Linked DNA regions of Pelodiscus sinensis. The protein of the gene in region 2 purifies or fractionates together with the protein of the main gene of each other region. This does not show direct contact. Links are inferred from orthologs where the notes say so. Each region holds a gene or a part of one and is shown on either strand. Other genes may lie near its edges.

Region 1 (8,174 bases), on a different chromosome or scaffold from region 2:
CACAACATTCAAGTAACAACTAGAGCACTCTGATTGCATGGAAAAAAATTAGGAAAGAATATGAAGTACAGGCAGTCCCCGAGTTACGCGGATCCGACCAGGGAGAGGAAGCAAAGCGGCGGAACACGCGGGCAGCCCAGATGCGTCTGGGCTGTCCACTGCCCGCGTGCTCTGGGGCTTTACTCTGCTTTGCTCCCTGTCCCCCTGGTCTGCAGACCAGGGGGACGGGGAGCAAAGCGGCGGAAGACGCGGGCAGCGGGCAGCCCAGACGCGTCTGGGCTGCCCGCCGCCCGCGTCTTCCGCCGCTTTGCTCTGCTTTGCTCCCGCTCCCCCTGGCAGGGGGACGGGGAGCAAAGCAGAGCACAGCCGCGGAGCACGCGGGCGGCGGACAGCCCAGATGCGTCTGGGCTGACCGCTGCCCGCGTGTTCTGCCACTTTGCTCCCCATCCCCCTGGTCTGCAGACGCAGACCAGGGGGACGGGGAGCAAAACAGAGCAAAGCCCCGGAGCACGCGGGCAGCGGACAGCCCAGATGCGTCTGGGCTGACCGCTGCCCGCGTGTTCTGCCACTTTGCTCCCCATCCCCCTGGTCTGCAGACCAGGGGGACGGGGAGCAAAGCAGAGCAAAGCCGCGGAGCCCGAGGGCAGCAGGACAGCCACGGCGCATCTGGGCTGTCCCGCTGCCCCCGTGCTCCGCGGCTTTGCTACGGACGCCTGTGGTACAGCAGCTGGGGCGCTGCCGGTTGGTCCCGTAGCGCCGCTCTGGGCACTACGGGACCAACCCAGCAGCACCCCAGCTGCTCTGCCCCAGGCGTCCTGATTCAGACACTGCTGGTCAGTTTCAGCAGTGGCTGAATCAGGACACCTGGGGCAGAGCAGCTTGGGTGCTGCTGGGTTGGTCACGCGGCGGCGCTACTGGACCAACCCAGCAGCACCCCAGCTGCTCTGCCCCAGGCGTCCCCAAGTCAGCCGCTGCTGAAACTGACCAGTGGCTGACTACAGGAAGCCCCTGCCCGGGGCTTCCTGGAATCAGCTGCTGGTCAGTTTCAGCAGCGGCTGACTTGGGGATGCCTGGGGTTCTTAAGTTGAATCTGTATGTAAGTCAGAACTGGCGTCCAGATTCAGCCACTGTTGAAACTGATCAGTTTCAGCAGCGGCTGAATCTGGACGCCAGTTCCGACTTACATTCAGATTCAACTTAAGAACAAACCTATAGTCCCTATCTTGTACGTAACCCGGGGACTGCCTGTACTTGTAGTTCTATTTTAATGTAATTTAATAGCTGGAAACCAGGAGAGTAGCACATGGTGACCAGCCAGCTCTTTGTGGACTACAGACATAGGCACCAATCCCAGCCCCCAGATCACCCACTCAAGAAAAAAGTGGGTGTTCCTCCCCTTCCCATCCTCCAAAATCTGTTCAGTGGTGTGTATGAGGTGCTGGGGAGGGGGGTGAGGAGCAGGAGGGGTGCACTCAGAGGAGGGATGGGGCAGGAAGAGCTGGGGACTTGCAGGAAGAGGTGGAGTGGGGGAGGAGGATTGGGGCACAGTGGGGATTGAGCCCACCATGGAAACTGGGGAATTTGGTGCCTCTGATCACAGACTACATTTTGAGACCCTATGGTCTAGAAGTATACGTAGATTAACAGAGACTGGAGTCACAAGGGACTACTATGATAATCTAATCTGACCTCCCACAAAACACAGCTCATAGAATGTCCCCATTAAGTCCTATCTGAACTAGAGCATACCTTCTAGGAAACTATCCAGTCTTAATTTTAAAATGGCTACTGATGGGGTACGTCTACACTGCAACACTATTTTGAAATAACTAGCTCTATTCCAAAATAACTTAGTCTGCATCTACACAGTAGGCAGTAATTTCAAAATAGTGTCAAAATACTGTAAAGCTGGAGGAGGACTTCTTACTCCAACTCCAGTAACCCTCCTTGTAAGAGGAATAAGGGAAATTGGAGGAAGTGTGCTCTATTTTGAAATAAGTGCTGTGTAGATGCTCCCTATTTTGAAATAAATTGCTCAATTTGCATAGCTTATTTCAAATTAAGCCCTGCAGGGTAGATGTACCCATGGAGAAGCCATCACAATCTGTGCTACACTATTCCAGCATTCAAGTCTGAGGGCAGGTCTACACTACTGCTTGTGTTGATATATTTTTATGTTGTTCAGGGGAGTGAAAAAGCCACCCCCAAGAGAGACCAATTACACCAACACAGCACTGTTGGCAAGAAGTGCCCTCCCACCAACACAGCTACTTACTTTTCAAGAAGGTGGGGTAATGATGTCAATGGGAAAGCTCTCTCCTAGTCGCACAGAGCCTATTCACTAAAAATGCTGCTTTGGTGCAGCTGCACCACTATAACGCTTCTAGGGCAGCACAGCCCCAAATTTGGCAAGTTTAAGAGCCAATGGTTGTATAGTTGGTTTCCCTTTGCTTGTTACACTAAAGAGCCTAGTATCAAATATTTGTTCCCCTTCGGGGTGCTTACACTCTGTGGCTTAAATCACCCCTTCACTTTGCCTTTATTAAGGCTAAACAGATGGTGCTCAAGTCAACGAGCGCAATTTGGGATCTTTTTCGACCCTTTGCTCATTTCCACTGACCTGCTCCAAAATTTCTCTGGCAAAATGTCCAGTCTGGAGGCTCTGACTTGGGGCTTTCGAGGGGTCATTTAAAGTCTCTGCCTCTGTGCCCGAGCAGCACCTCTCCGCTAGCTAGTGCTGTGCTCTCCCCCGCAGTGTCGCGATAGGAGGGTAACTGGGGGAGACCCGAAGGGCCGTGACGGGCAAGTCGGACTAGGTCGAAGGGCCCCGCAGGCGGCGGAAGTGCTGTGGCGGCCCCGGGTTAGGCTGCACGAGGCGCTGCACGGGCGAGTCACGCCCGGAACAAATCGCCCCGCCGCGGCGCCACGAACCCGGCCCCTCCGCCGCCCCCGGTCGGAGCTGATCCGCGCGGGGCCGAACCGCGGAGGGAGACGGTCTGGGCGCCGGACAGGTCAGCGACACTTCCCCCCCCGCCCCCCACTCACGTTGGCGCGCTTAGCCGCTTGCATCGCCATGGTGCCGGGCGGGTCGGGGGCCTTCGCCTAGCCGGGAAACAACGGACGCGTCCGTCTCCAACAGGGGGGGCAGGCCCGGATGCTATCCCAGCCTGCACCGCGGGCTCAGCCCGCGCGCAGGAAGTGACGAGTGCTAACCGGATGAGAGGAAACAAACCTGACAGTTGGGGGCGGGAAGTGACGAGGGGAGTCATGTGACTTTGCCGTTTGCGGGGCGATGATAACTGCCTCCTGCAGAGGCCGCTCCCCCAGTGGCGGTGCCGTTAGTTAGAACGGGGGCGGGGCAACCTGCGGGGGCGGGGTCCGCGCGTGTTTCCCGCGTCCACGCGCAGGGAGGCCGATGCGGCCCGGGCAGTTTTTTCCTCCGGGCGTTACGGAAGTGACCCCGCGCAAAGCCAGGCCACGCGAGGGGGGAGCCGCGTGCTCCCTCTGCAGCCGCGCTAAGCGCTGCTAGTTCGCTCGGCACCGCCTGTGCTGGCTCGGCCTGCAAGCGCCCTTAGCAACAGCGCCCTAGCCTGGAGACGTGCGGCCCACTCCTCCTGGCTTCCCCTCACTGCTCCTACCCAGCTCACTAGTGCCCCCCTCCCCATCGTACCCTCCTCCAGTGCTCCTCCCCCCCAACACCTGACCCACTCGTGCCATTCCACCCCATGGTTCCTCCCCAGGGGTGACCCGTGATTATAGGCCGACTCGGCCGTCACCTAGGGCGCCCCCTTCAACGGGGTGCCCGATGATATCACTCCATTGACGGCCGTGCAGCCAGGGGCGTTGATCGCACATTGCACTTAGGGCATGCCAGTTACAAGATCATGCCTAACCATGCCAGTTACAAGATCAAGAACACATATTCCTGTTCATTCAGAAATATAATTTATGCCATCATGTGCCTAAAGTGTCTGTCTGCTATGTACATTGGACAGACGGCTCAGACACTTCGCCAAAGAATCAATGCACACAAAACAGACATAAGACTCTCTCACAGAGAGAAAGCTGTTGCTTGCCATTTCAGCCAGACTGATCATTCCTTTAATAACCTTAAAACATGCATAGTGCTTCAAAGAGACTTTAACTCCAGACTTCAATGAGAAGCTTCAGAATTGTCTTTCATGCTTAAAGTTGACACTTTATGTATGGGTTTAAACAAAGACTCTAATTATCTCACCCATTACAAAGATAGCTTCCCCAATTATCACCCTTATGTCATTACCTCACAGAAACTAACCTTCCCCCCTCACCCTCACTCTATTCTAAAATTTGATTTGTCAATTTCACATGCGTTCATTTTTTTGATTGTATCACTTTGGTATATATGGTTGTGCCGATTTTCTTCCACATATTGATCTGAGGAAGTGGGTTTGGCCCACGAAAGCTCATCACCTAATAAACCATCTTGTTAGTCTTTAAAGTGCTACATAGTTCTGTCTTTTGTTTAATCCATCTTAGGTTTTGTGTAAGTATGATAACCCATCAGTTCTTACCACAGCACTGTTCAAAACAGCATAAAGAACCATACATGCCAGTCTGAGACTAGAGAAATGTGTATCTTACTTCAGTTCACTTCTAACTAACTTCCCAACATTCAACCCTTTCTGAACTGGGTTAGAAGTTTTGTCCTAGCTGCTGTTGTTGATTGACATCAAGGAAACTAAACTCCTCTTGATTTATACACTTCCCTCCCCTCCAGGATTTTCTTCTCAGTGCTGCCGCTTGCTGCCATTACTCTCCACAAAATACATCATTTAATCTATCAATTTTAATGTTATACTCTGCTGGATCTGTATATCCTAAATTGGTACACGCATCATTCTTGTATGTGAACTTAGAAATATGAAGTGTGAGTCTATTTATAGTTTTATATGTGCTAATGAGAGCTGTTTCTAGTGCCCTGGAAGCCTAATGACTAGTGATCAACTCAATGGTTTGTAAAAAGCCTGGCTTGTCCTGTAAGTGCAAAGGCGGTTGGACTAGAAAGACCTGTAACCTTGACACCTGGTACTGGAAATCCATTCTGAACCTGGATTTTTTCCATGGGAAGAGTGGATACCCTGAGGAAAAGTCAATTTAAGAAATGGGAAGCAATTCCCTTTTGTCTACTGCCTGGCACTCCCCAAAAAAGGGCTGGGGACCCAAGTATGAGAAAAAGAATTTGTCATTGACTTGAAGATTATGCCTAAAATAAGAGCATCTCTTTAGGGTAAGAGTGTACGTGCAATAAGTTTCTTGGTGAATTAGAACTAGCTATATCTTTTCATTTAAATGTAGTACCTTACTTTGATCTGGCTGTTTTCACTTGCACCATTTAAATCCTACTCTTTATACTTAATAAACAACTTTTGTTTACTATCTGGCCCAGTGTATATAATTGTTACCTGGAGAGAACAACCACTGTGCTTATCTCTCTTTCATTGATAAAGGGAGCTTACTTGATGGCTACGTCTTCACTGTGAGTTCTTCCGGCAGAAAATGTGCTAATGAGGGACTCATTAGCATAAGTCACAATCTCATTAGCATATTTTCTGCCCTTTCTTTTTGCACAAGGGCTTTTTGCACAAAAAGAAGCAAGTGTGGATGGGGTTTTTTTTGGCACAAACCCCCCCATTTTGCACAAGATCCTTATGCATCCTAAAGCTTCAGAGGGGTAGCCAAGTTAGTCTGTAACAGGAAAAATTAAAACAAACAAACAAATAGTCTAGTAGCAACTTAAAGATTAACAAAACATGTACATAGTATCATGACCTTTCATGGGCACAACCCACTTCTTCAGATGACTGGAGTGTTGGAAGTCCCTCCCTCCGGGACTATCTAAGAGGTAACAGTTTCAGAGTACAGATGGTCAAAGAAGGGAAGAAGCCAAAAGACTCAGGGGTGCCAAGGTACCATTCCCTCTGTCTTGCAGGTATAAATTATTTCATTTTTACATGTACAGGGGCACTGAATACCCTGAGCAGGCATTAGAAGAAATGGAATATTTAATGAAAGGCAACAGTAAAGCTTTTAGAGAAATCAAAAAAGCTTAGAATATTGCAGAATAATGGATATTGTTTTGCTTGCTTAGATGTACTTCATTACAAACTGGTCTTCTAACGCACCAGTCTTCATAAGCTTGATCAATTTTAAGTTGTTTTCAGATTCAGTTTTCCTTATCTCTGAAATATTCCGCTATGGGGGGAAAAACAAAACATTTTCTTTTAAAATATTTACAATAATGGAAATGCTCCAGTTTAAAGACATACAATTGCCACAAGAATCACATTAGCCCTTTTTTGCCCCAGCATGACACTGGGAGCTGATGTTAAGTTACTTGTTTACTATAACCTCCACATCCTTTTCAGAGTTCGTTCTTTCCAGAATACAATACTGGAATGTACTATAATTGAATGAAAGGCATCATAATCTAGCTCACATATTAGCATTTGCATCTGAATACATAAAATATTGGAATACCTATAGTTATTGAGTATTAGCAACTCCAAATATAGCTTCAGTGTGTCATTTGAAATAAACAGAATCTTTATTATATAAGTTTGTGGCCTTAAGAACCCTAAATACTGCTCCTTCAGATCAGCGAACTGCAAAAACTTTAAAGATAATCATATGCAGAAATCTCTCCTGGAATTACATAATGCTACTTTGTTTTCTCTGGAGGAAAAGATTAAACATAATAACAAAAGGGCAGGCCAATCCCCACCCTCGGCCGCCAAATCCCTAAGGGTGTGTCTACACAGCAGGGTTTAATTTGAAATAAGATACACAAAATGAGTGACATCAATTGCATAGCTTATTTCAAAATAGCTTATTTCAAGTTCTGGTACTGTCTATAAGCACTTATTTCAAAATAGAGCATTCTTCCTCTGACTTCTCTTACTCCTTATAAAATGAGGGTTACAGGAGTTGGAGTAAGAAGTCCTCCAGCTTGACAGTATTTTGACATTATATTGAAATAACTTCTAGCTGTGTAGACGCAGACTATGTTATTTCGAAATAATGTTAGTTATTTTGAAATAATGTTGCTGTGTAGACATAGCCTAAGAATCTGACCTAGCAAACACAAGCTAAGTCTACACTGCAATCTCAGATGTGACTATAGCTTGAGGGGACACACCTGGATGTACTAGCTTTAATTTAGCTAGAAGTGAAGCTGTAGCAATTCAGGTTTCAGCACAGAAGTCTGCGAGTAGTTATCCATGGTTCTGGGCAAGTTTGTACAGCCCATCCTGAAGCACACATTGTTGCCACTTGATATATCTACTCCAGCTGCAATCACAGCTATGATTGCAAAACAAGCATACTCTGTGGGCTTGGCTTCATTAAAATATTACAGCATCATAGCTGAGCCACTGTAGTGTTTCAGTGTAGACGTTACCTATGCTGATGGGATTCTGGGAGGGAGTCTCCCATTGGCATTAGTAATCCATATTCTGGAGAAACAGTAGCTAGACTGATAGAAGAATTCTCCTGTCAACATAACACTGTCTACAGAGACTTAGTTTGGCTTAATTAGGGTTGAATGAAGTTTTATTGACCTAATTTTCTAGTGTTGACTAGGCCTTAGACATGTGACTTCACTCAGGTCACTAGTCCCATTAAAGCCAATGTGACTGCTTGTGAGAAATTTACTCATGTATGCAAATGTTTACAGGAGCAGGCTCCAAAGATTGTATAAACTGGCATTTTTGGAGAAATCTCCCATCTCTGCCCTTCTATCTGAGGTAGCAGTGGTCGGAGAGTTAGTGGAGATAGGGCTTCTGTATGTAACGCTGTGTCATCTAGACTAACTCTGGGTTAAGATGACATAGGGTACATCTACACTGCACCGTTATTTCGAGATATCTAGCGTTATTTCAAAATTCCACACAGCCATTCTGCTATTTCGAAATAATTTTGAAATAACAGATGGCTTATTCCAAAATCTGTAAACCTCATTCTACGAGGAATAAAGCCTATTCCGAAATAGCTACATCAAAATAAGACATGTTTAGTGGTATGTCTACACTACAGTGTTATTTCGAAATACCTTATTTCGAAATAGTTATTTCAAAATATCTTATTTCAAAATAACACATCTAGAAATAACACGTCTAGACACAAAATGCATTTCA
Region 2 (7,256 bases):
AAAATTAACTATAGTTGGATGTACTATACTTGTTCCTAGAAAATATTTACTGTACCAGTACATAGTTTAGTACCTCAAGGTAACAGCACTGTCTCTTGCTGCAAAAGAGGTAATTTATTAATTTATCAGAAAAGCTATAAATAAGGTATTTAATTAAAACACTTTAAATAGAAACTGTGCCTTTTACAAATCTTTGTTTCAACTAGAAGTGCCCTCATCTTCGTCTCTGGAATTTCCACAATATGCTGTTGATACAAATAAAATTGCCTCAAAACAGTTCAGTGGTCAGACATAGCAACTACAACAACAATTGTTATACTTACATATGTAAAAAGCCAAGAATAATTAGTGACTTTTTGACTTGCAAGCTGAAGATTCCCTCTACTTCATATTACTTTGAATTTCAATTTGCAAATTTCAAATGGTGCAACAAAAATAATCCTAATATTCTCACCTAAAAGTGAAAGGCCAACTCATATCTTCAGGAACACTTCTATTCTCCCTTTAAATTTGGGGGGCAACACAAACTCTTCATACAGTGTACCAGGCTGCCTCATATTATTCAGGAGAATTGCAAGAATATGCAGAGTTCCTGAAGAGAGTTTGTGGTCAATTACTTTCCCCCACAGCATCTTATATGCATCTCAGACTGCTGCTGGCCATTCCTCCCTTTAACAAAATAGATGACTAGGTACAGGAGTGTCTACCTGTACCACTGTATTTTTTTTATAACCAGCTTAAGTTAGCATGTAGTAGCTTTATTTTTTGCACATTCTAGGATGAAGATTGTTTTTAAAAGTAGCTGTGCAACCAGGCAAAGGCCAATAATCCTTGTTCTTATGAGAAAAGGCCCACAAAAGCTCTAATTTACTATATCTTAATCCTCCATTAATTGTATGATTCCCGAGGTGACCAGCAAGAATCTCTGACACCATTAATATGTTGTTTAATTTGTCTTTTAGAAGAGATCTAAAATCTACAATACTTTGTGTCATCGTTACCCTCACTCTCCCTCTCTAGTGCCTCTGGTTGTTTGTTTCAAAAATTAGTTCCATTTTATCTTAATTCATGCACTAAACCTAAAATGAGCTTTTAGAAGATGCCTCAGGGCCTTGGATTATAACTCTTTTATCCACCACCTGTTTCATGCTATCCTTTTGACCAACACCATCATAATGAGAGTTATGTGACTGAAGCCTGTGTACTTATATAAGAGCATAATATAAAAAAAGCTTAAAACCTAATTTTAAATGAAAGCTTACATTTTACAGAAACTGATGTCTTCTTATGTCTTCACACTACCTAGTTACTTAGTTACAACTCAAAAGACATTTGTTTTCAGGGTTAGAAGCAATGTATTCAGTTGTGGGGAAGGGAAGTCCATTGGGATGCTGCAGAAGTGGCTAGGACTTAAAAATAGATATTTGATTGGAGGGAGAGTTTGAAAGAAGAACATCCCTTGACAATGAAACGCTTTCAATAAGCCTACTCCTAGGATCAGACTTATTAATGAGACCACATACAGCAGCATGAGATAGGGTAATTTTTTTCGTAAATAAAGACCAGGAGCCCTCATGCTTTAAAGCATGTACCAGTCACCAATGGACATCGACTAGGATGAAATTTTCCCTAAAGGAAAAGGCACTATTCTGTAAACGTTTACTTTGACATTTCTTGCCTCTGTCTCTGAAGCTTTCATTATTAACTTTCACAGATGGAATACTGGATTAGACAGACCAATGATTTGAACTAGCACAGCAATTCCCATGAATATGTGGTCATTTTCAATCATTCCATTTAACTTTAACTGTTGTCCACACTCCAACAAGAAAAATCTTTAGAATTATATTTTTGATTTCAGAATGTAAATGCTTCAACCCAAAGGTAAACTAATTTAATTACCCTCAATTTTTTGTTGTTCAATATCCATAGCCCCCCTCCCCCATCAATTTTCAGTGCAAGTTAAAAACAAAAATAAATTTAGAAGTAATTAAATTCACCCCTAGGTCGCCCACCATTGCTTCCTGCGTTTGTGATTTTAAGATTATGTTTATAAATGCTTTCCCACTCTTTCTGTCCACCTCTAGAAAAACTCACACAAAGGAGTGATTGATAACACGGGGAACAATGAAACTCACTAGGCATAAAATGCATGTAGAGGCGGACAGAGAACACACACAAAAGAATACCTTTGCCGTCCCCCTTCACCCCACCCCCGCCAACTTCAACAATCGTAACCGTTATCTGTAAACAGCAACTTGAAAAGCTGTAGTCAGAAGTTGCGGAGATCACTCTAATTTACTGAAGGAAGACGGTCGGCGTAGGGCCGAACACTATGATCTGGTTCAGGCCTTGTCAGAATTTTAAAAAAAACACTAGAAATACTGGTCCCTGCTCAGCGCTGCACTGGGAGTCGGGTTCACGGGACTATTCTCGCCCGGGATGCGGGGCCGCGGCGGGAGCTCAGTGACCCGAGGAGTCGGGTAACCGATGGGGTTCCCAACTGCACGGACACACGGCACATCTCGGCTGCTAATCGGAGCCTACCCCGGCAAGATTTCCGATTCCTGCGCGGAAAGGCACAGGGGCCGGTTCCCTGCCACTCTCACGCAGCTCGCCCGGTACCCGCTGCCTCCACCACGTCCCCCGCCCCGCACCGGGACTCCCGGCTTTTAAACGGGACGGACGGAGCCTCCCAAGACTGTAGGAAGCCGCCGGGCTCTTGGGCCGCCCCTCCCCCCACAAGCGCGACGAGGAGACGCGCCTGCCTAGCGCTTTCGCCATGGGGCCTGCGTGCCGCGCCCGGCCGGCTCCGAGCCCCGCCGGTCCGGTCCCCCCCCCGCGCCTCGGCCAGGCCCAGCACTGCAGGGAGCGAGTCTGCCGCCGAGGCACAAAGCGGATTAGGCAGGAACCGCTCCAAGAGGGAGAGAGACCAGCCCCCGCCCCCAGGCCGCGCGGCCAGGCCCGGGCCCTAGCCCCGGCGCCCCTCACCCGTCAGCCGTAGCGCGCTTCTTGCTGGAGGTGTAGTCGTCCCCCAGGTCTAGGCGGTGGCGCTTGGACATGGTGCCGGCGGCGGCGGGGACTCCGGGCGCGGATGGGTGCTACGGCTCCGCGCTCTCCGCTCCTCGAGCAGCAGCGGCGGCAGCGCCGCGAGGCCAAGAACAGCAACTAAAATGGCGGCCGGAAGGAAGCCTCGATCCGCGCGAGACACTGAGCGAGCCACTTCGAAGAGGGGGAGGCGGTGCAGCCACGCCGAGCCCGGCTGGGAACCTTCCCCCGCGCGCCTCGGTCCGGCCAGCGGATCGCCCCCTAGAATTCTATTGCCACCCAGGGAGAGGGCCGGAGTCACAACGTGAGGCGGTGCCAGCGGGAAAAGGGGGTGTGGGCGGAGGCGGAAAGAGCTAGTGCTGTAGATGGGACAGCCCGGGCACTGCCCTGGGCCGTAGCAGGAGCAGTTCCCCTCACCCCAGAGAGGTGGTGCTCTGAGTTGGAACCAGATTGAGACTATGGCTCGCCCACCTATAGCCTGTCCAGGTGCAGGCAGATTGCTTAGAAGAGCACAACTAGGCCTGGGACGCATCTCGGTTGCCCCATGCTTTTAGCGCCTTCCAGTAGACTGTGTTGTTTCAGTGTCATTGCTTTGGTGACATGGCTTTTTGACTTGCTGTAATGGCTGACTTAGCCTGGCTCCATAAAGACCTAACGCAATGGACTTGTTACCTGTGTCCATCATAACTGTACACATGATGGAACTTTAAATCTTTGTAGGATTGGGGCCATAACTACCTGCCCTTCAGCAACACTAGCTCAGCGCAACTGTACGTTTGTGCACACACAGTGTTTCAACTGATGTCAGAGCAGGACAGACATCAGAACCTACCCCAGTGTAAAGTATCAGTAAGACATATCCCAAAAGTTAGGAACACAAATATATCTTATAAGGCCCCCTAAAACAAAGACAAATCCTTCCAGAAGGATGGTGGTTTCAGAAGGGAACTGACAAACTTGTGAGATCAGAATTCAGTTCCTGGTTCTGCCACTTTCTTGTGATTAGTTGTCTTGTCTCATCTATTTAAGACTTTAACAAGTAATATCTACATAAGTTATGGTTTGACTTTAAACCACTATTACTATACAGCTATAACTTCCCATGCAGACACTCATAACGTGTTTTTGTTTAAGCTAAACAAAAACAAAAAGCCCTCTTATTTTCAGAATAAGAATGTCCAAACAGGAAGTTATACCAACATAACTGTACTGGTACAACTTTTTCCAGTAGACAAGTCCTTGGAGCATAAGTTCTTCAGGACAGGAATTGTCTTCTACATGTATCTATGAGGGATATGAAAGATTTATTGGTTCCGGTTAATGCGTGGGGGCTGAAGAAGCTCCGCTCACCTCAGGCGGGTGGCTGCTACAGCCCCATAGGGCACGCTTGAAGACAAGGGCTGCTCTGGCTGCCCAAAGCAGCTCCTGTGCACAGTGGGGCCCGGGTGCATTGCAGGCAGGGGCTACTCTGGCTGGGCTGAAGCCTGCAATGATGGGGAGGGGCTGCTCCAGCCCAGTCTCAGCCTCCCAACCTTTCCTCCTTTAATCAGTTAACCTGTTAAACATCACATTTAACCGGTTAACCAATTAAATAGGATTTTACATTCTCAGTTTCTACAGTATGTAAAACAGCCAGACCCATATCTCAGTTGGGCAGAAGTCCAGGTTCTACTGTAATACAAATAATAGACATCTTTTTATTTGGCAGTCCCAAAGATCTGTTAGGCTTTAATTTGGAGAGACTGGATTTTGAGCTTTGTAGTGGCTAGGCAGGAATGAGTATTGAGGCAATACTTTAAACTTATACACAGCATTGGGATATCTATTTCGTGAATCATGGTAATGTAGCCTTATATGGGCATGGCTCTATTCCAAATTTTGACCTGGTAAAGGCCATTTTAGCATTATCATTATTTATTTACATTGTGGTAGCACTTAAATATCCCAACCCCATTGTGCTATGCACTAAATAAACAAATAATAAATATGCAGTCCCAGTCCAAACAGTTTACTATCTAATTCCTTGATTCTGCAAACCTGTGCATCTGCAAGTAATCCAAATGGACTACTCAGAATGGTAAAGCGGAGTACATTCATTAGTGTCTCCAGGATCAATGTCTAAATATAAGGTGAAAAACAACAGGTAGCAAGAGCAATCAGATGGGGGAGCACAAAGTAACAATGGGACAAAACTGACCAATGAGAAGCATCTTGCCACAACTCTGGGAGATGCAATACAGAACCACGGAGTTAGGAACACCAGAGTTACAAATTGACTAGTCAATAACACACCTCATTTGGAACAAGAAGGATGCAATCAGACAAACACACACACAATGCAAATACAGTACAGTACTGTATTAAATGTAAGCTATTCAAAAAAGGGAAAGCAGCATTTTTCTTGTGCATAGTAAAATTTCAAAGTGTATTAAGTCAAAGTCCAGTTGTGAACTTTTGAAAGAATAACCATCATGTTTTGTTCAGAGTTATGAACAACCTCTACTGCTGAGCTCAGACGTTTTGTTGTACATATGCACAAAATGGAACACAGTATCATACTGTTATCAAAAGATTTGAAACCAATTATATTAAGTCAATGAGCTTGCCTAAAACCACTGCTTTTAATTAAAAACCTTTTATCCTTAATTTATCTATTCCAGTAATTATGGTTGTGGTCTGCCCTAAAAGAATTTCCAGGAAAAGCCAGTCCCTTGCAAGGATATGGATACAGCATTCTGATGAAGAATATCATAAACAAGAATAATATTTATTTAGAAATGAGTGGTTACAGCATAAGAGTAGAGATATAGATAATAGGGTTACAGTTAAAAAGTGAATGAAGCCGCACAGCAAATAAAGACACGCTACAATAACACTTTCAATTCTAACGAAACATGTAGATGGTATCATGAGTTTTTGTGGGCACAACCCACTTCTTCAGGTGTCATCTTTTTTGGTCTTTAAGATGCTACTAGACTTGTCATTGTTTTTTAAGATTTCCTGTTAAAGACTAACTCAGCTGCCCCTCTGAAACTTTCACTCCTATAACTTACAACAATATAAACCTTCACTTAATGCTCTCTACCTTATAACAATGTAACAATATATGAATTAAATATTCAACATTAAAACTAAGTGTCAAGTCAGTGCTGGCCTGGAATTTATTATATGGACAGGAAAAGATCTTACTCAAACCACAGTCACTTTATTTACAAACGAAGGCCATATGCTTTAGGATGTTAAATGGACAACGCTTTTATCTTACAGAGGATTTTTAAGATTCCTTCTGAGACAATTTAAAGGTCCTTCTGTTCTGTCACAAACTTTGAGAGCATTGTCCAATGGCTGCAGACTGCTGTAATCTCTGCAGTTGTCTCTTTATTGGGTGCCTGTCTGCTCCTCTGGTAAATCAGCCTATCTGGTAGCAGATACAGAAGCCTGCTTGGTTGCTGCACTGGTGGATACTATGAGGGCCTTCTGCTGACTGGGTGGTAGAAGCAGCCATTGTCCGGTGCAAATTGCTGCTACTGCTTTTGTAGTAGTTGTTTTTTGCAAGCAACTCTTTCTTTGCAGGGTTCTGATGTTGCTTCTTAGTTGGTTTCTTTTATGTAATCATCTTCTGACAGGTGTACAGCACTGTTCTGCTCTATGAGATTTTGCTGAGCCAGCCCCACAGGAAGTGATGCAATAGTGTGCCTTGATTGCATCACCTGATAATGATGCAATCTTGTCACCCATTTGCATCATCCTTATACATTTCTACGGTTTTCCATATATTCTTATGGGGTTTTTCTAGCTGTTCTATTGATGACTTGAGCTACTTCCTGTCATTCCCTTGAGAAAGTTGAATTTACCATTACATCACAGGAAGTGAATTATTACATCATAAACAATGGATCCCTATGTCTTTTAGAAATGAAATCTCCCACTATATTACAGCACCCTTAGGCAGTGACACTGATACAGTTTTTGGAGTAGAGGTGCTGAGTTCCCCCTCCTCTTACTCCTTTCTGCGCCACTCACCACTCTGCATGCAGGGCTGGCAGTGGAACCCCTGGGAACAGCAGTTGAGGTGGTCTTGAGGGTGGCAGTGGAGCTTCTGGACAGCAGTGGACCTGGTGGACAGGACCCTGGGCAGCAGTGGTGTGGGGGTGGCAACAGGGTCATCAGGCACAAAACCTGGGGATGCTGCAGCACCCCACCCCACC
Region 3 (7,569 bases), on a different chromosome or scaffold from region 2:
AAGTTTCAGAAGGGTAGCCATGTTAGTCTGTTTAGCAAAAACCATGAGGCATCTTTAAGGTACCACAGGAGTCCTCGTAGTTTTTGCTGATTTAAAGGTTGCTCTATGTCACTCATTAGCAAACTGATTGTAGAGATGGCCTAATGGAAGCAGTTAAGTGTTGAAATTCAACAGAGTCACTTTCTCTTCTGTCATCTTCAAAGTATAGATTCCAGAGCAGATTTTGAATAAGGTAGTAATCAATTCTCCTGCTACCAAATTTCCAAATATATGCTAACTGGGCATCTCTCACCTGACCCACCCCCCAAGTTTTGTGCCCTAATTTCTTCTGTAGCCAGCATCCTATCTCTCATGGCAATAGACCGAGTCTCACAAGAAGCACACTGGTTACTATGCAGAGGCAGGGATACAGGATCACATTCAGCACTTTCACAGAAACAGCACTACCGTACCGAACACAATGGTTTGACCACGGCCTTTGGCAGTTTCACAGGTGATTTCATTTTCCTGGCTACTTTCACATATTTTTCTCTATTACAAGATTATGCATTTTTGCCTGGGATATTTAATACACTCACAATTGAGGTAACAATATTTGAAAGTTAACAGTCAATTAGTGGGCACGTCTATGGTCCAGATCTATGTTGTAGAAGTTGGACAGGTAACGCCATTTGAAATTCAATTATAAATTAGGGATGTAAAATCCCATTTAATTGGTTAACCAGTTAAACATTATGTTTAACTGGATAAGCACATAAAGGGAGTGCAGCGGGCTGGAACAGCACCCCAATGCAGGCAGGGGCTTCTCTGGCTGGGCTAACACAGCCCTTGCCTGTGGCACTCCCTGGGTCCGCTGCAGACGGGTGATCCACCTGGAAAAAGTAAGATGCTACACTTCACCCCAGTGATGCTTACTGGTTAACCTTTCATTTACCCAATACAAGTCACCAATTATTTGCTGTAAGTTCTGTATCTTGAACTGCCTCGTAAAATATTTTATACAAAAAACAACAAATGATATAAGAATTAATTAATAATCATAATAAACAGAAAAATACCGGACATCAACTATAAGCAAGTTGGGCAGAAACCACGTCTTCAGAAGTGTCTGTACAGAGGTGCTGCTTGAAGGGCCAAAGCACTGGTTGTGAGAGGGGCCTCAGGGAACAACTGCACTATAACGTAACAGTCATAACTAATAGCAGTTTACTGTTCACATTGCACCAATGAAGATGCTTATTTTCGAGCTGTGTAAGTGGCCACAGACATGTTAAAAGCACAGAGCTATCTAGGATTTTCAAAACATGGCACTGCCTCTACGTGGGATGCTCAGATCTGTTCCCGGAAGCCATGTCTGGAAGCTGCATCAGGTGCTACCTCATGCTTCGGAGAACAGTCACAAGTCCTGAGTGGCATTTTCAAGACAGAGGCTGGACTGGGGGCAGAGGCTGCTGTGGGCGTGGGGAAGGGATGCTGATTCTCTCTGAAAGTCAGACGCTAACGTGACCTCATATAGAATCCTAGAACTGGAAGAGACTTCAAAAGACTTCATCAAGTCCAGTCTCCTGCCCTCAGTGCAGGACCAATCACTATCTAGATCATCCCTAACAGGTGTTTGTCTAACCTGCTCTTAAATATCTTCAGAGATGGAGATTCCACAACCTCCCCAGGCAATTTATTCCAGTGTTTAACCAGCCTGACAGGTAGAAAGTTTTTCCTTATGTCCAACCTAAACCGCCCTTGCTGCAGTTTAAGCCCATTGCTTCTTGTCCTATCCTCAGAGGCCAAGGAGAACAATTTTTCTTCCTCCTCCTTGTAACACCCTTTTAGATACCTGAAAACTGCTATCATGTCCCCTCTCAGTCTTCCCTTTTCCAAACTAAACAAGCCTAATTCTTTCAATCTTCCCTCGTAGCTTGTATGTTCTAGACCTTTAATCATTTTTCTTGCTCTTCTCCGGACCTTCTCCAATTTCTCCACATCTTTCTTGAAATGCGGTGCCCAGAACTGGACACAATACTCCAGTTGAGGCCTAATCAGCGCAGAGTAGAGTGGAAGAATGATTCTTGTGTCTTGCTCTCAACACTCCTGTTCATGTTTGTTTGTTTTTGTTTTTTTTTGCAAGTGTCACACTTTGACTCATGTTTAACTTGTTGTCCACTATGACCCTTAGATTCCTTTCTGCAGTACTAATCCTTAAACAGTTGCTTCCCATTCTGCATGTATGAAACTGATTGTTCCTTCCTAATGGAGCACTTTGCATTTGTCCTAATTCAACTTCATCCCGTTTTCCTCAGACCATTTCTCTAGTTCGTCCAGATCATTTTCAGTTATGACCCTGTCCTCCAAAGCAGCTGAAACCCCTCCCAGCTTGGTATCATCTGCAAACATAATAAGCGTCCTGGCTATGCCAATATCTAAATCGTTGACGAAGGCATGTAACAGAATCGGTCCCAAAACAGACACCTGCGGAGCCCTGCTTGCGGAACAACCAAACTCTGCCAAACCCCAGGCACCTCTCCAGTTCAATGAGGGAACAAGCTTTGCACTAACACTCTACTGTCCTTAAGCCCCAACACAGGACTGGGCTCTGCTGTCACAGCACTGCAGGCTCGTCGGCCCCTCAGAATAATCCCCGCCCCGCAAGAAACCTCAGAGCCCCCCTGACCCCGCCACCTGAGCCCAGCAAGGCCTGGAGCCCCCCCCCCCCCCCCGGCCCAGCAAGGCCTGGAGCCCCCCCCCCCAGTCCAACTGCCCCCGGCCCAGCAAGGCCTGGAGCCCTCCTCCCCACTCCAACCCCCCCTCCGGCCCAGCAAGGCCTGGAGCCCCACTCCGACCCAGCAAGGCCTAAGGCACCCCCGGCCACGCACCTCACCAGCGCTCGCGGCTCCCCTCAGGCCGGCCCGCGACTGCGCACGCGCAACTCTCTCTCAGGGCGGAGGAGGCGCTTCCGGCTTCCGCGCGGCCAAGCATTTCCGGTTCGCCGGATGGGAGGGTCACGCGCGACGAAAGGCTTCCGGGCCGGGCGCTTCCGCGTTGGGGGCGGGGAGCGGCGGTTGGCGGCTCGCGCGCGGCGGGATGCGGCGGCTGTAGGGGCGCGCGGGGGCGGGGCCTCGCCATGCGCTACAACGAGCGCGAGCTGCTGGCCCTGGCCCGGCAGCCGGCCGAGAAGGCGGCGGAGATTCTCATGCGCGTGCCCAAGAAGGGCAGCGGTGAGGGGCGGCGGGGGCGGGGCGTATGAGGGCAGGGGGCGGGGCTGGAGGCGGGGTGTGTGAGGGGAGGGGGCGGGGCGTATTTGTGGGACTGGAGAGGGGAGGGGTCGGAGCGTGTGGGGGGGGCAGGATGTATGGGGATAGAATGGGGCCGGGGTGGGTCGGGTGTATGGGGTGGGGGAGGGGCGGGGCATATGTGGGAGGAGCTAGGGTGGGTCGGGGGCGGGGCGTATGGGGATAGAGTGGGGGTGGGGGAGGGGCGGGGCATATGTGGGAGGAGCTAGGGTGGATCGGGGGCGGGGCGTATGGGGATAGAGAGGGGGTGGGGCAGGGGCGGGGCATATGTGGGAGGAGCTAGGGTGGGGCAGGGGCGGGGCATATGTGGGAGGAGCTAGGGTGGGGCATATGTGGGAGGAGCTAGGGTGGGGCAGGGTGTATGGGGATAGAGTGGGGGTGGGGCAGGGGCGGGGCATATGTGGGAGGAGCTAGGGTGGGGCAGGGTGTATGGGGATAGAGTGGGGGTGGGGTGTACAGGCACTCAGGAGGGCCGGGGGAGGGTTCTATTGTGGGGCATGAGGCTCAGCTTCTTCCACTCAGGAGCCAGCTACTCCCACACCTTCCCCATTCCCCCCCCCCCCCCAACTTCAATCTGGCTCTTTGTCCTGCCTCTGTTGAGCTCCCTGCCCTGTCCCCTTCCCTGTGGGATGAGCAGGGACCACGTTGGCACTTTCTCAAAGAGGCGGTAGCTCCACTCCTGCATTCTCCTCCCCAGCGCTGGTGAGGTGGTGTATGGCACTGAGCTACCACCCTTTGTCCGCAAAGTGGCTGCCTTCCTGTGGTGGGGGATGGCATGTACAATGCACTGGTAGACCCCTACGCAGATATAAAATTGGTATCTGTATTGGCAAAAAGATGGTGGGAGATCTGCAACCACAGCTGCGGCCGCAGAGAGCTGCCACCTTGCAGGGTTTGAAGCAGCTTTCTATCCACAAAAACAAGACATGGATAGCGGCAGCCATATTCAGGGATGTGGATACCTGTGAATTTGCATTGGGATCGTACCAGCCAGGAGGTGCTACAAGAAGCATGTGTGGTTAAAGTTTTATAGGTCATCAGTGAAAGCTTAGCCAAGGCTGGCACACCTAGGATAGAATTGAGTTGCTTGAGAGGTCATCAAATTGCTGTTCAGCCTAGAATCATAGTGCTATGAACCAGTAAGAATGAAAGGTGCCTGCACCTTCCTTTGTGCGACAGGTCCAGTTTTCCATCCTACAGCTGAATGTTCCCTCTAATATTTTCTATCCTTAAGCAAAATAAATTTTGTATGCAGCAAAGCATGTACCAATGTGCACTACCAGGCCGAGACACAAGGGCTGTGGCTACACAGGCACGATCTTGCGTAAAAACTTGCTGCCTATCTACAGTGGTCACGTGTTCTTACGCAAATAAACTGATGTTCTAATGTATAAAATCAGGGCTGCTTGCGCCAGAACTCTGACGCTCCTGCTCAGGAATAAGCCCTCTTGCGCAAGAGCTCTTCCAGAAGAGGCCAGTGTAGACAGGCAACATGAATTTCCTGGGCAAGAAAGCCCTATAGTTAAAATGGCTCTCAGAGCTTTCGTGCGGAAGAGAGCATCTACACTGGCATGGATGCTCTTGTGCAAAAGCACATGCCAGTGTAGACGCTCTCTTCTGGAAGAGTTTTTGCATAAGAACGCGCCAGTGTAGATAGAGCCAAGCTGACAGCTCTGGATGCTCTGCTAAGCAGCTGGGCGGAGTATGAATCACTCCAAAGCACTCAGCTAACAGGGAACACTGCCACAGACCTCCGCTTCTGAATGCTGTCTCTCTTCTTTGCAGTGCTGAAGAAACGCCTAGTGAAGCTAGTTGTCAACTTTCTCTTCTACTTCCGCATAGATGAAGGAGAGGTATAAAAATAACTTGCTTCTGCAAACTGGCTTTATGAACTTGTTAGAGCTGTTGTAGAAAAACATATTAATAAGGCAGGTTCTATACCAAAGGGCCTAAAAACCAACCAAGAGCAGACTGCCGTTGTGCTAAGCTCTGTACTATCACAGAATCGTAGATGGTCCATGCCCTGAAACACTTACCGGTGAAGTAGTCACACTGCACTGTTTAGCTAGTGGTGTTTGAGGAACACAATGAAGCCTCTGCTTGGCGACGCTGAGAAGCAACTGCTGTCCTGCCCAGCCCTGGCTATCAGTCTAGGGGTGATCTCTGAAACCTAATCATTGCCACACTTACACGCATGGCTGCAATTCATTTATGTGAAACTAGTGAGATTGATTTTAAATTTAGACTAAGGCCCTAGCTAAATCTCAGTAAATAATAACTGTATCATTGCTTTTGAGCAAGATCTGGCAGTGTAAAAAAAAACCCCCAAAGCATTGTAATCGCTGTATTTTATCAATATTCCTTACTTGGACCTATAAGTATGCAAGCGTATTGTCTGGTTGTTGTAGCAGAGGAATGCGAGCTGGAGCCCACTGGTTCCAGAAAAGACTTTTGATCTGTCTTGGCCTTTGTTTCTCATCCTTAACAATAAAACTCACTTGCACTGTGATTGGACAGAAGATGCAGGATGAGCATGGCATGGTACTGCTGTGGCTACGCCATTTAACAGACTTGAAGAGAAGGTGCTTTCGGTGGTGTTTGTAGTGATCAGAAATACATGTGACCCTAAGGATCCTTGCACTCCCTTTGCAGAATATTTCTTCTCTCCTCCTTGTCTCCTCTGACAGTCATGATCATAGGATCTGGCCAAGAAGATGCCACACTTCACAGTCTCTTTGGGGTGATTATGAAATCATGTTAGAGCTTTGACCGCATGAGACTAGAGACCATTCCCAGTAGCAGATTTCTCTCCACTCCTGCTTACACGAGTTTGGCTGTTTTGGCTAATTTTCCTGGCAGTTAGAGACTATAAAATATTTCCCTTTGTGTTTAGCAGTAAGTGGTCCAAAAATAGTTTGGAAGCTTAGAATAGTATGTGCTGACGGGATACTTAGTCAAATAACACCTCTTAACACTGAGTTGTTCTTAAAAAAAGTCTGTGGTCTCTATTCTATTTGTTTGTCTCTTGCAGTTCATTTCGGACAAAGAAAAGAACCCTTTCTCTGGTTTTCATGCCTTAGCTCAGTGCACCCATAAATGACTCGCAAATTCTGCAGGTGAAATTTGTTTGTTTAAAATGAACTGTTTTAAAAAAACCGAATGCAGGGACAGATTTCATTAGACTTCTGCAAAGCTTCAAGCATGTTCTTTTCCAGACCTAAGTTTGGATTTCTGTTTGTGCTGTGCCTTCCAGCCAAACTTGATGTGCAGACTAGATTCTAGAGAACTTTTACCACCTTTGCCTCTTTTTGTGCAGATCACTGAGCTATTTATTAACTCTCCAGAGTTGTACTGAGCAAATACAGATGTCCAAAGCACTGTGTAAATACTAATCAACACAAAATATTTGTACAGTGAAGTATGACAGCAGAGACAAAGAAATTGGCTACCTAAAAACCGCTCTGTTTTCAACCCTCTCAGTTCTCGCCAGGTTATGACGTCTGCCCTAAAGTCCGTCCCCTGGTAGTTTGTGGCTTATCAGGATCTTCCTATCATTAAAAATATTTTTGTCTTCTTGAGCTGCCGTGAAAGACCCACTGTAGCAAACAATACATGGGAACCAGTGAAAGAGCTGTGACTAGCAAGATAGTGCACAAGAACTCAAATAGCTTAGGGAATGTCGTTTCTGCTCTAGCCTCTTGGCACTGTTGTCTCTCTCTTTCACGAGTCACTCACTGCGGCCCCCACGTCAGTCCCCGTGTTCCCTTTCCCGCCACAATGTCTCACATGTGTAGAACTGGCTGAACAAGGGGAGGGGTGTCTTAACCCTTCTCTGTGGGTTTCTTTCTAGCCAATTGGAGCTTTGCTGTTGGAGCACTGCAGAGTCACCAAAGAAGAGGAGAATGTCTTTTCGATCAGTGAGTTGTGGGAGAAGATTCTCATGGGTGTATCCTCCTCTCGGTTTCCCTTTTCAGTCAAGTAGCAGAAGGGCAAGGGGAATGTTTCTAGAGTCAGATCCTGCACCATACTGTGTGGAGTGTCCTGTCTCACGTGGGGCGGGGCAGTATGGGAAAAGGGAGACGCATAAGAAAAATTCTTGGGTGTTGTAAGAAGTGATGCTACAAAATCAATAGCCACCCTCTTCCCTCCCTGTGCTGCATCATTGACGCCTCCTGGCGTAATGATTGTGCTGCTGAAGGGTTGGTCTCGTCATGTAGGTATGAAAACCAGCCCCCCAGCACGGGAAGGTCCTGGACCATATTTTGGTGGTGTCAAGGTGCTA
Region 4 (7,752 bases), on a different chromosome or scaffold from region 2:
TCAATGGGATTGATGATACCTAGGGAATTTTAGAATAGTTAGTGAAGGGGACTCTAAACATTTGACTAAGAAAAGCTGTGGATAGGTTTCTGGAGGAAAAAGAGAGATTTCTGAGTAGCACAGATCATCCAGTCTGGCATTCTGTCTTCAGCAGTGATAGGATTTTGTACAGTTACACATTTTTATATGTGGCCCTAATATATTCAGGTACTTTTAAAAATCCTGTTATAGCATGTTCCTCTGACCTCCGACTCCAATGAATTCTATAGCTCAGCAATACACTGCACAAAATAGCATTTCCTTTGGTTACAAGTTGACTGTCTTTTAATCATAGAATGCTAAAATTGGAATGGATCTCAAGAGGTTATAAAATCCAGTCCCCTGCCCTCATGACAGGACCAAACACCATCTAAATTGTCCCTGACAGATGCCTATTTATCCTACTCTTAAATACCTTTGGTGATGGAGATTCCACAACCTCCGTAAGAAATTTAATCCAGTATTTAACCACCCTGACAGTGAGTTAATTTAATCTTCCTCCTTCTGTCTCCTCATACTAAATAATCAGAGACTGACATGGGTAGTAGACTTCACAATTTCATTCTAATTACTGCTGTAATTATTTAAAACTAATATAATTGGATTTAATCTTGAAGATCTGAATTGGCTGAAGAAGAGGTGGGAAAACAAAACCAAGTTATTCAGTGTCTCAAGGTTGCAGTTTCCTTAAAGAATCCCCATCTTGGACCCACACTCTTGGGGAAAACACACAGTACCTTGAGCATTCTTTCCAAGCCCTCTACCAGGAACATAACCCATTTTCTGAAGAAGCTTCTGCCCTATTCCTTTGGTGTGTCTCTCCCAGCTGCCAAAGTCCATGAAAGATTTGGTCCCACCTACAAATCCTTTCTGGCTGGGTTTGAAATTGCCACCCTGTTCAGAGAAAAGAAAAAACAACAGGTAAGTGATATAATCACCAAGCTCCTGGCTGCCTCAAGAGGGGATCTCCTCTGAGGAGCCCCACCAGCCTGCAGTCTGCGCTGCTCTGTCAGAGCACCCCCAAGCCACTGCTAGAGTTGGGGATTTGTAGCCCTGCTCCTATTATGGTCTGATCTATAACACACTATCATGAGCAGATACAAGTTGGTTCCTGATATTTTGCTTTTCAACAGTTGAAAAATGGGTTTTGATTCTTAATCCATTTAATTGGCAATTTGCTCATGCCAGCCACATTCAGTACTGTAAAAAGAAATAATTACAAAAATATTTATCATTGATGGGTGGAAGCAAAACTGGGTCATTAATTTACTTCAACTTCATTCAACTCAAAATGATTATCAATGAAGAGAAGAGGCTTAAGAGGCCTGGGGAAAAGATGAGCTCCCGAGAACCTAACACAATCCATGAAAACACATAAAGAAAAGCCAAGGGATATTCTTTCCCCCCACGGCAAACCAGTGTCACAAACAGTTCTGTGATCTTACTCAGCCACTGTCCTCCCTTCTCAGCTGATGTGTTACTAAAGCAGTATCTAGACCATACTGTGGTTGGCACTCCATAAATAATTGTTATAAGTTTCAAACTTTCATGAGTAACTCACTGTTTTTAACTTCTTTGGTACAAACTCTTTAGGGAGTTCTTCTTGCTTAATGGGCTTCTCATCTTCATCTGAATCTTCTTCTATCACTTCCTCAGCTGCAGCTTTCCTTAGCCCCGCACTGATGAAGTTAACGGGGGCGGAATAGTCACGAGAGCTACACAAAAAAGGGATTTCAGAGTCATGCTATTGTTCCACTGTTCCATTGAATTTGAACTTGAAATGCATACACTCAGACACCTTAATGCAATCATTACTGGTCCCAAAATAAACGCAATGTTAAGAAATAACATTTAAAAGCTGTTAAATTCAAACTTTTGTATTTCAGTCATAGAAAGTGTTGGTTTTGCATGTGCATGCAAGACTCTCTAATGAGTTGTAACTTAGCACAATGTTGATCTTCTTCATGAACTTGGCAATAAGGAAATGAATCTCGGAACCAAACTATACATGAAAAATTCAATCTATTTGATAACATGCTGAACTAAATAGTAACCCCTCACTGCTCCCACAGATACCTTTCAAAGCCATTACAATCTCAAATTGGCCACAGTAGCACAAAGTGTTTCCAAGAGACTAAGCCTTTTGAAGCTAGCACTATACATCAAGTGACTGAGTTAGTGTCAGAAAAACTTACATAATCAAATATTCTATAGAATGTATAAAGGCATCTCCCCAGTAGTTCTTTGCAAATGGACAGAGAAAAGAAAACCTCCAGAAAGTGAAAAATCCAATAGTGCTACATAAAGGAACTGATATCTCCTTTGGACTATTATTTTAGCTTATCGGCTATGCTAACCACTAACAGAAGATTCTTGCTGTTCACAGTACTGCCAGAGTTTGCAAGACACTGGTAACTGCCTGTACCGTTTGCCTCCAAAGCTGGGCCTCTCATCATCCGAGTCATGCTCAGCCCACACGCCATAGGTGGCCTCCTCCTTTGTCTGCCAGTGGCGCTGGCGGTTGGGGTTGAACTCATTCTGCAGGTCCCAGTCTGTGATTTCAAAGTTCTCCATCTCCACGTCGTCGTCGTCATCTTTGCCATAGAGATGGGACATTGACATGATGGCCTGGGAGAGTTGGAGCAAGCAGCTGGTCAGGGGGTGGATCCAGAGAGGGCTGGCAACAAAAGTAGGGGGCATAGACAGTGCAAGAGGGTGACATGGGATGGGTGTGAAGGTAAGGAGAGCAGGAGGCATGGCTAGTGAGGTGGTGGGTGACACAAGGACCAAGGTGTGAAGGGGATGACATGGCACAGCCAGTAGCACACAGGAGCAAGTGAGACAAAGCACAGGCAGCCATGACACACCAGGGCAAGGCAGCAAAATGGGGGGAGGGAGAGAGAGAGGGAGAGGTCTCAGCTGGCATAAGGCAGTGACAGGAAGAATGGTGGGGGGGATGAATCAGTGAGTGCAAGCCCAAAACAGGGTGAAGAGTACTTAGCTGGTGACCTGGAGGGAGGAAGCTTGGACAAAGCAAGGAGGTGACACTGGGGTGGAGAAATCATACGGTACAAGGCAGTGACATGGAGAAAGGGGGGGGGGGTTCGGCCGGCGCGAGGGGCTGACACGAGGGGGGGTTCGGCCGGCGTGAGGCGCTGACACGGGGGGGGCGCGAGGCGCTGACACGGGGGGGCGGGGTTCGGCCGCCGCGAGGTGCTGACACGGGGGGGGGGGATGTTGGGCCGGCGCGAGGCGGTGACACGGGGGGGGGGGTTGGGCCGGCGCGAGGCGCTGACACGGGGGGGGGGGGGTTCGGCCGGCGCGAGGCGGTGACACGGGGGGGGGGGGGGTTCGGCCGGCGCGAGGCGGTGACACGGGGGGGGGGGGTTCGGCCGGCGCGAGGCGGTGACACGGGGGGGGGGTTCGGCCGGCGCGAGGCGGTGACACGGGGGGGGGTTGGGCCGGCGCGAGGCGGTGACACGGGGGGGGGTTCGGCCGGCGCGAGGCGGTGACACGGGGGGGGAGGTTAGGCCGGCGCGAGGCGGTGACACGGGGGGGGGGTTTGGCCGGCGTGAGGCGGTGACACGGGGGGTGGGGGTTTGGCCGGCGCGAGGCGCTGACACGGGGGGGGGGGGGTTTGGCCGGCGCGAGGCGCTGACACGGGGGGGGGGGGTTTGGCCGGCGCGAGGCGCTGACACGGGGGGGGTTTGGCCGGCGCGAGGCGCTGACACGGGGGGGGTTTGGCCGGCGCGAGGCGCTGACACGGGGGGGGGGGTTTGGCCGGCGCGAGGCGCTGACACGGGGGGGGGGGTTGGGCCGGCGCGAGGCGGTGACACGGGGGGGGGTTGGGCCGGCGCGAGGCGGTGACACGGGGGGGGGTTGGGCCGGCGCGAGGCGGTGACACGGGGGGGGGGTTAGGACGGCGCGAGGCGCTGACACGGGGGGGGGGTTGGGCCGGCGCGAGGCGCTGACACGGGGGGGTTGGGCCGGCGCGAGGCGGTGACACGGGGGGGGGTTCGGCCGGCGCGAGGCGGTGACACGGGGGGGGGGTTCGGCCGGCGCGAGGCACTGACACGGGGGGGGGGTTCGGCCGGCGCGAGGCGGTGACACGGGGGGGGGGTTCGGCCGGCGCGAGGCGGTGACACGGGGGGGGGGTTCGGCCGGCGCGAGGCGGTGACACGGGGGGGGGGGGTTCGGCCGGCGCGAGGCGGGTGACACCGGGGGGGGGGGTTCGGCCGGCGCGAGGCGGTGACACGGGGGGGGGGGTTCGGCCGGCGCGAGGCGGTGACACGGGGGGGGGGGTTCGGCCGGCGCGAGGCGGTGACACGGGGGGGGGTTCGGCCGGCGCGAGGCAGTGATACGGGGGGGGGGTTCGGCCGGCGCGAGGCAGTGACACGGGGGGGGGTTCGGCCGGCGCGAGGCGGTGACACGGGGGGGGTTTGGCCGGCGCGAGGCAGTGACACGGGGGGGGGTTTGGCCGGCGCGAGGCGGTGACACGGGGGGGGGGTTGGGCCGGCGCGAGGCGCTGACACGGGGGGGGGGGGTTCGGCCGGCGCGAGGCGCTGACACGGGGGGGGGGGTTCGGCCGGCGCGAGGCGCTGACACGGGGGGGGGGTTTCGGCCGGCGCGAGGCGCTGACACGGGGGGGGGGTTCGGCCGGCGCGAGGCGGTGACACGGGGGGGGGGTTCGGCCGGCGCGAGGCGGTGACACGGGGGGGGGGTTCGGCCGGCGCGAGGCGCTGACACGGGGGGGGGGAGTTCGGCCGGCGCGAGGCGCTCACACGGGGGGGGGGTTCGGCCGGCGCGAGGCGCTGACACGGGGGGGGGGGGTTCGGCCGGCGCGAGGCGCTGACACGGGGGGGGGTTCGGCCGGCGCGAGGCGCTGACACGGGGGGGGGGGGTTCGGCCGGCGCGAGGCGCTGACACGGGGGGGGGTTCGGCCGGCGCGAGGCGCTGACACGGGGGGGGGGTTCGGCCGGCGCGAGGCGCTGACACGGGGGGGGGGTTCGGCCGGCGCGAGGCGCTGACACGGGGGGGGGTTCGGCCGGCGCGAGGCGCTGACACGGGGGGGGGGGTTGGGCCGGCGCGAGGCGGTGACACGGGGGGGGGGGTTGGGCCGGCGCGAGGCGGTGACACGGGGGGGGGGGGGTTGGGCCGGCGCGAGGCGGGTGACACGGGGGGGGGTTGGGCCGGCGCGAGGCGGTGACACGGGGGGGGGTTAGGACGGCGCGAGGCGGTGTCACGGGGGGGGGTTGGGCCGGCGCGAGGCGGTGACACGGGGGGGGGGTTGGGCCGGCGCGAGGCGCTGACACGGGGGGGTTGGGCCGGCGCGAGGCGGTGACACGGGGGGGGGTTCGGCCGGCGCGAGGCGGTGACACGGGGGGGGGGTTCGGCCGGCGCGAGGCGGTGACACGGGGGGGGGGTTCGGCCGGCGCGAGGCGGTGATACGGTGGGGGGGGTTCGGCCGGCGCGAGGCGGTGACACGGGGGGGGGTTCGGCCGGCGCGAGGCGGTGACACGGGGGGGGTTCGGCCGGCGCGAGGCGGTGACACGGGGGGGGGGGTTCGGCCGGCGCGAGGCGGTGACACGGGGGAGGTTCGGCCGGCGCGAGGCGGTGACACGGGGGGGGGTTCGGCCGGCGCGAGGCAGTGATACGGGGGGGGGGTTCGGCCGGCGCGAGGCGGTGACACGGGGGGGGGGGTTCGGCCGGCGCGAGGCGGTGACACGGGGGGGGTTTGGCCGGCGCGAGGCGGTGACACGGGGGGGGGGGTTTGGCCGGCGCGAGGCGGTGACACGGGGGGGGGGGTTGGGCCGGCGCGAGGCGCTGACACGGGGGGGGGGTTGGGCCGGCGCGAGGCGCTGACACGGGGGGGGGTTCGGCCGGCGCGAGGCGCTGACACGGGGGGGGGGTTCGGCCGGCGCGAGGCGCTGACACGGGGGGGGGTTCGGCCGGCGCGAGGCGCTGACACGGGGGGGGGTTCGGCCGGCGCGAGGCGCTGACACGGGGGGGGGGTTGGGCCGGCGCGAGGCGGTGACACGGGGGGGGGGTTGGGCCGGCGCGAGGCGGTGACACGGGGGGGGGGTTGGGCCGGCGCGAGGCGGTGACACGGGGGGGGTTGGGCCGGCGCGAGGCGGTGACACGGGGGGGGGTTGGGCCGGCGCGAGGCGGTGTCACGGGGGGGGGTTGGGCCGGCGCGAGGCGGTGACACGGGGGGGGGGTTGGGCCGGCGCGAGGCGCTGACACGGGGGGGTTGGGCCGGCGCGAGGCGGTGACACGGGGGGGGGGTTCGGCCGGCGCGAGGCGGTGACACGGGGGGGGGGGGTTCGGCCGGCGCGAGGCGGTGACACGGGGGGGGGGTTCGGCCGGCGCGAGGCGGTGACACGGGGGGGGTTCGGCCGGCGCGAGGCGGTGACACGGGGGGGGGTTCGGCCGGCGCGAGGCGGTGACACGGGGGGGGGGTTCGGCCGGCGCGAGGCGGTGACACGGGGGGGGCTCGGCCGGCGCGAGGCGGTGATACGGGGGGGGGGTTGGGCCGGCGCGAGGCGGTGATACGGGGGGGGGGTTCGGCCGGCGCGAGGCAGTGACACGGGGGGGGGGTTGGGCCGGCGCGAGGCGCTGACACGGGGGGGGGGTTGGGCCGGCGCGAGGCGCTGACACGGGGGGGGGGTTCGGCCGGCGCGAGGCGCTGACACGGGGGGGGGGTTCGGCCGGCGCGAGGCGGTGACACGGGGGGGGGGGGTTCGGCCGGCGCGAGGCGGTGACACGGGGGGGGGGTTCGGCCGGCGCGAGGCGCTGACACGGGGGGGGGTTGGGCCGGCGCGAGGCGCTGACACGGGGGGGGGGTTCGGCCGGCGCGAGGCGCTGACACGGGGGGGGGGGTTCGGCCGGCGCGAGGCGGTGACACGGGGGGGGGGGTTCGGCCGGCGCGAGGCGGTGACACGGGGGGGGGGGTTCGGCCGGCGCGAGGCGCTGACACGGGGGGGGGGGGTTCGGCCGGCGCGAGGCGCTGACACGGGGGGGGGGAGTTCGGCCGGCGCGAGGCGCTGACACGGGGGGGGGGGTTCGGCCGGCGCGAGGCGCTGACACGGGGGGGGGGGGGTTCGGCCGGCGCGAGGCGCTGACACGGGGGGGGGGTTCGGCCGGCGCGAGGCGCTGACACGGGGGGGGGGTTTGGCCGGCGCGAGGCGCTTACACGGGGGGGGGTTCGGCCGGCGCGAGGCGCTGACACGGGGGGGGGGGGTTCGGCCGGCGCGAGGCGCTGACACGGGGGGGGGGGGTTCGGCCGGCGCGAGGCGCTGACACGGGGGGGGGGGGGTTCGGCCGGCGCGAGGCGCTTACACGGGGGGGGTTCGGCCGGCGCGAGGCGCTGACACGGGGGGGGGTTCGGCCGGCGCGAGGCGCTGACACGGGGGGGGGGTTGGGCCGGCGCGAGGCGGTGACACGGGGGGGGCGCGAGGCGCTGACACGGGGGGGGGGGTTCGGCCGGCGCGAGGCGCTGACACGGGGGGGGGAGTTCGGCCGGCGCGAGGCGCTGACACGGGGGGGGGGTTCGGCCGGCGCGAGGCGCTGACACGGGGGGGGGGGTTTGGCCGGCGCGAGGCGCTTACACGGGGGGGGGTTCGGCCGGCGCGAGGCGCTGACACGGGGGGGGGGGTTCGGCCGGCGCGAGGCGCTGACACGGGGGGGGGGGTTCGGCCGGCGCGAGGCGCTTAC

Evidence for each region.
Region 1: the proteins of DHX15 (region 2) and SF3B6 fractionate together in Homo sapiens (co-fractionation; 3 studies listed by BioGRID and IntAct, with this or other methods). This does not show direct contact. The link is inferred for Pelodiscus sinensis from reciprocal best matches to the Homo sapiens genes DHX15 and SF3B6.
Region 3: the proteins of DHX15 (region 2) and SF3A2 purify together in Homo sapiens (affinity purification with mass spectrometry; 4 studies listed by BioGRID and IntAct, with this or other methods). This does not show direct contact. The link is inferred for Pelodiscus sinensis from reciprocal best matches to the Homo sapiens genes DHX15 and SF3A2.
Region 4: the proteins of DHX15 (region 2) and TFIP11 purify together in Homo sapiens (co-immunoprecipitation; 4 studies listed by BioGRID and IntAct, with this or other methods). This does not show direct contact. The link is inferred for Pelodiscus sinensis from reciprocal best matches to the Homo sapiens genes DHX15 and TFIP11.

What each region holds. Positions count from the first base shown.
Region 1 is NC_134713.1:14,462,310-14,470,483, reverse strand, and holds the start of SF3B6 (splicing factor 3B subunit 6), read right to left. Parts: upstream 3,207-8,174; 5' UTR 3,076-3,206; coding exon 3,046-3,075; intron 1-3,045. Other genes in the region: PFN4 (profilin-4), read right to left, coding at 6,206-6,234.
Region 2 is NC_134715.1:102,246,526-102,253,781, reverse strand, and holds the start of DHX15 (ATP-dependent RNA helicase DHX15), read right to left. Parts: upstream 3,267-7,256; 5' UTR 3,063-3,266; coding exon 2,992-3,062; intron 1-2,991.
Region 3 is NC_134729.1:27,235,480-27,243,048, forward strand, and holds the start of SF3A2 (splicing factor 3A subunit 2), read right to left. Parts: upstream 3,028-7,569; 5' UTR 2,871-3,027; intron 1-2,870. Other genes in the region: PLEKHJ1 (pleckstrin homology domain-containing family J member 1), read left to right, coding at 3,119-3,212, 5,073-5,140, 7,138-7,204. UniProt on the Homo sapiens protein: Component of the 17S U2 SnRNP complex of the spliceosome, a large ribonucleoprotein complex that removes introns from transcribed pre-mRNAs.
Region 4 is NC_134725.1:39,273,594-39,281,345, forward strand, and holds the start of TFIP11 (tuftelin-interacting protein 11), read right to left. Parts: upstream 3,130-7,752; 5' UTR 2,797-3,129; coding exon 2,465-2,796; intron 1,755-2,464; coding exon 1,601-1,754; intron 934-1,600; coding exon 777-933; intron 20-776; coding exon 1-19. UniProt on the Homo sapiens protein: Involved in pre-mRNA splicing, specifically in spliceosome disassembly during late-stage splicing events. Intron turnover seems to proceed through reactions in two lariat-intron associated complexes termed Intron Large (IL) and Intron Small (IS).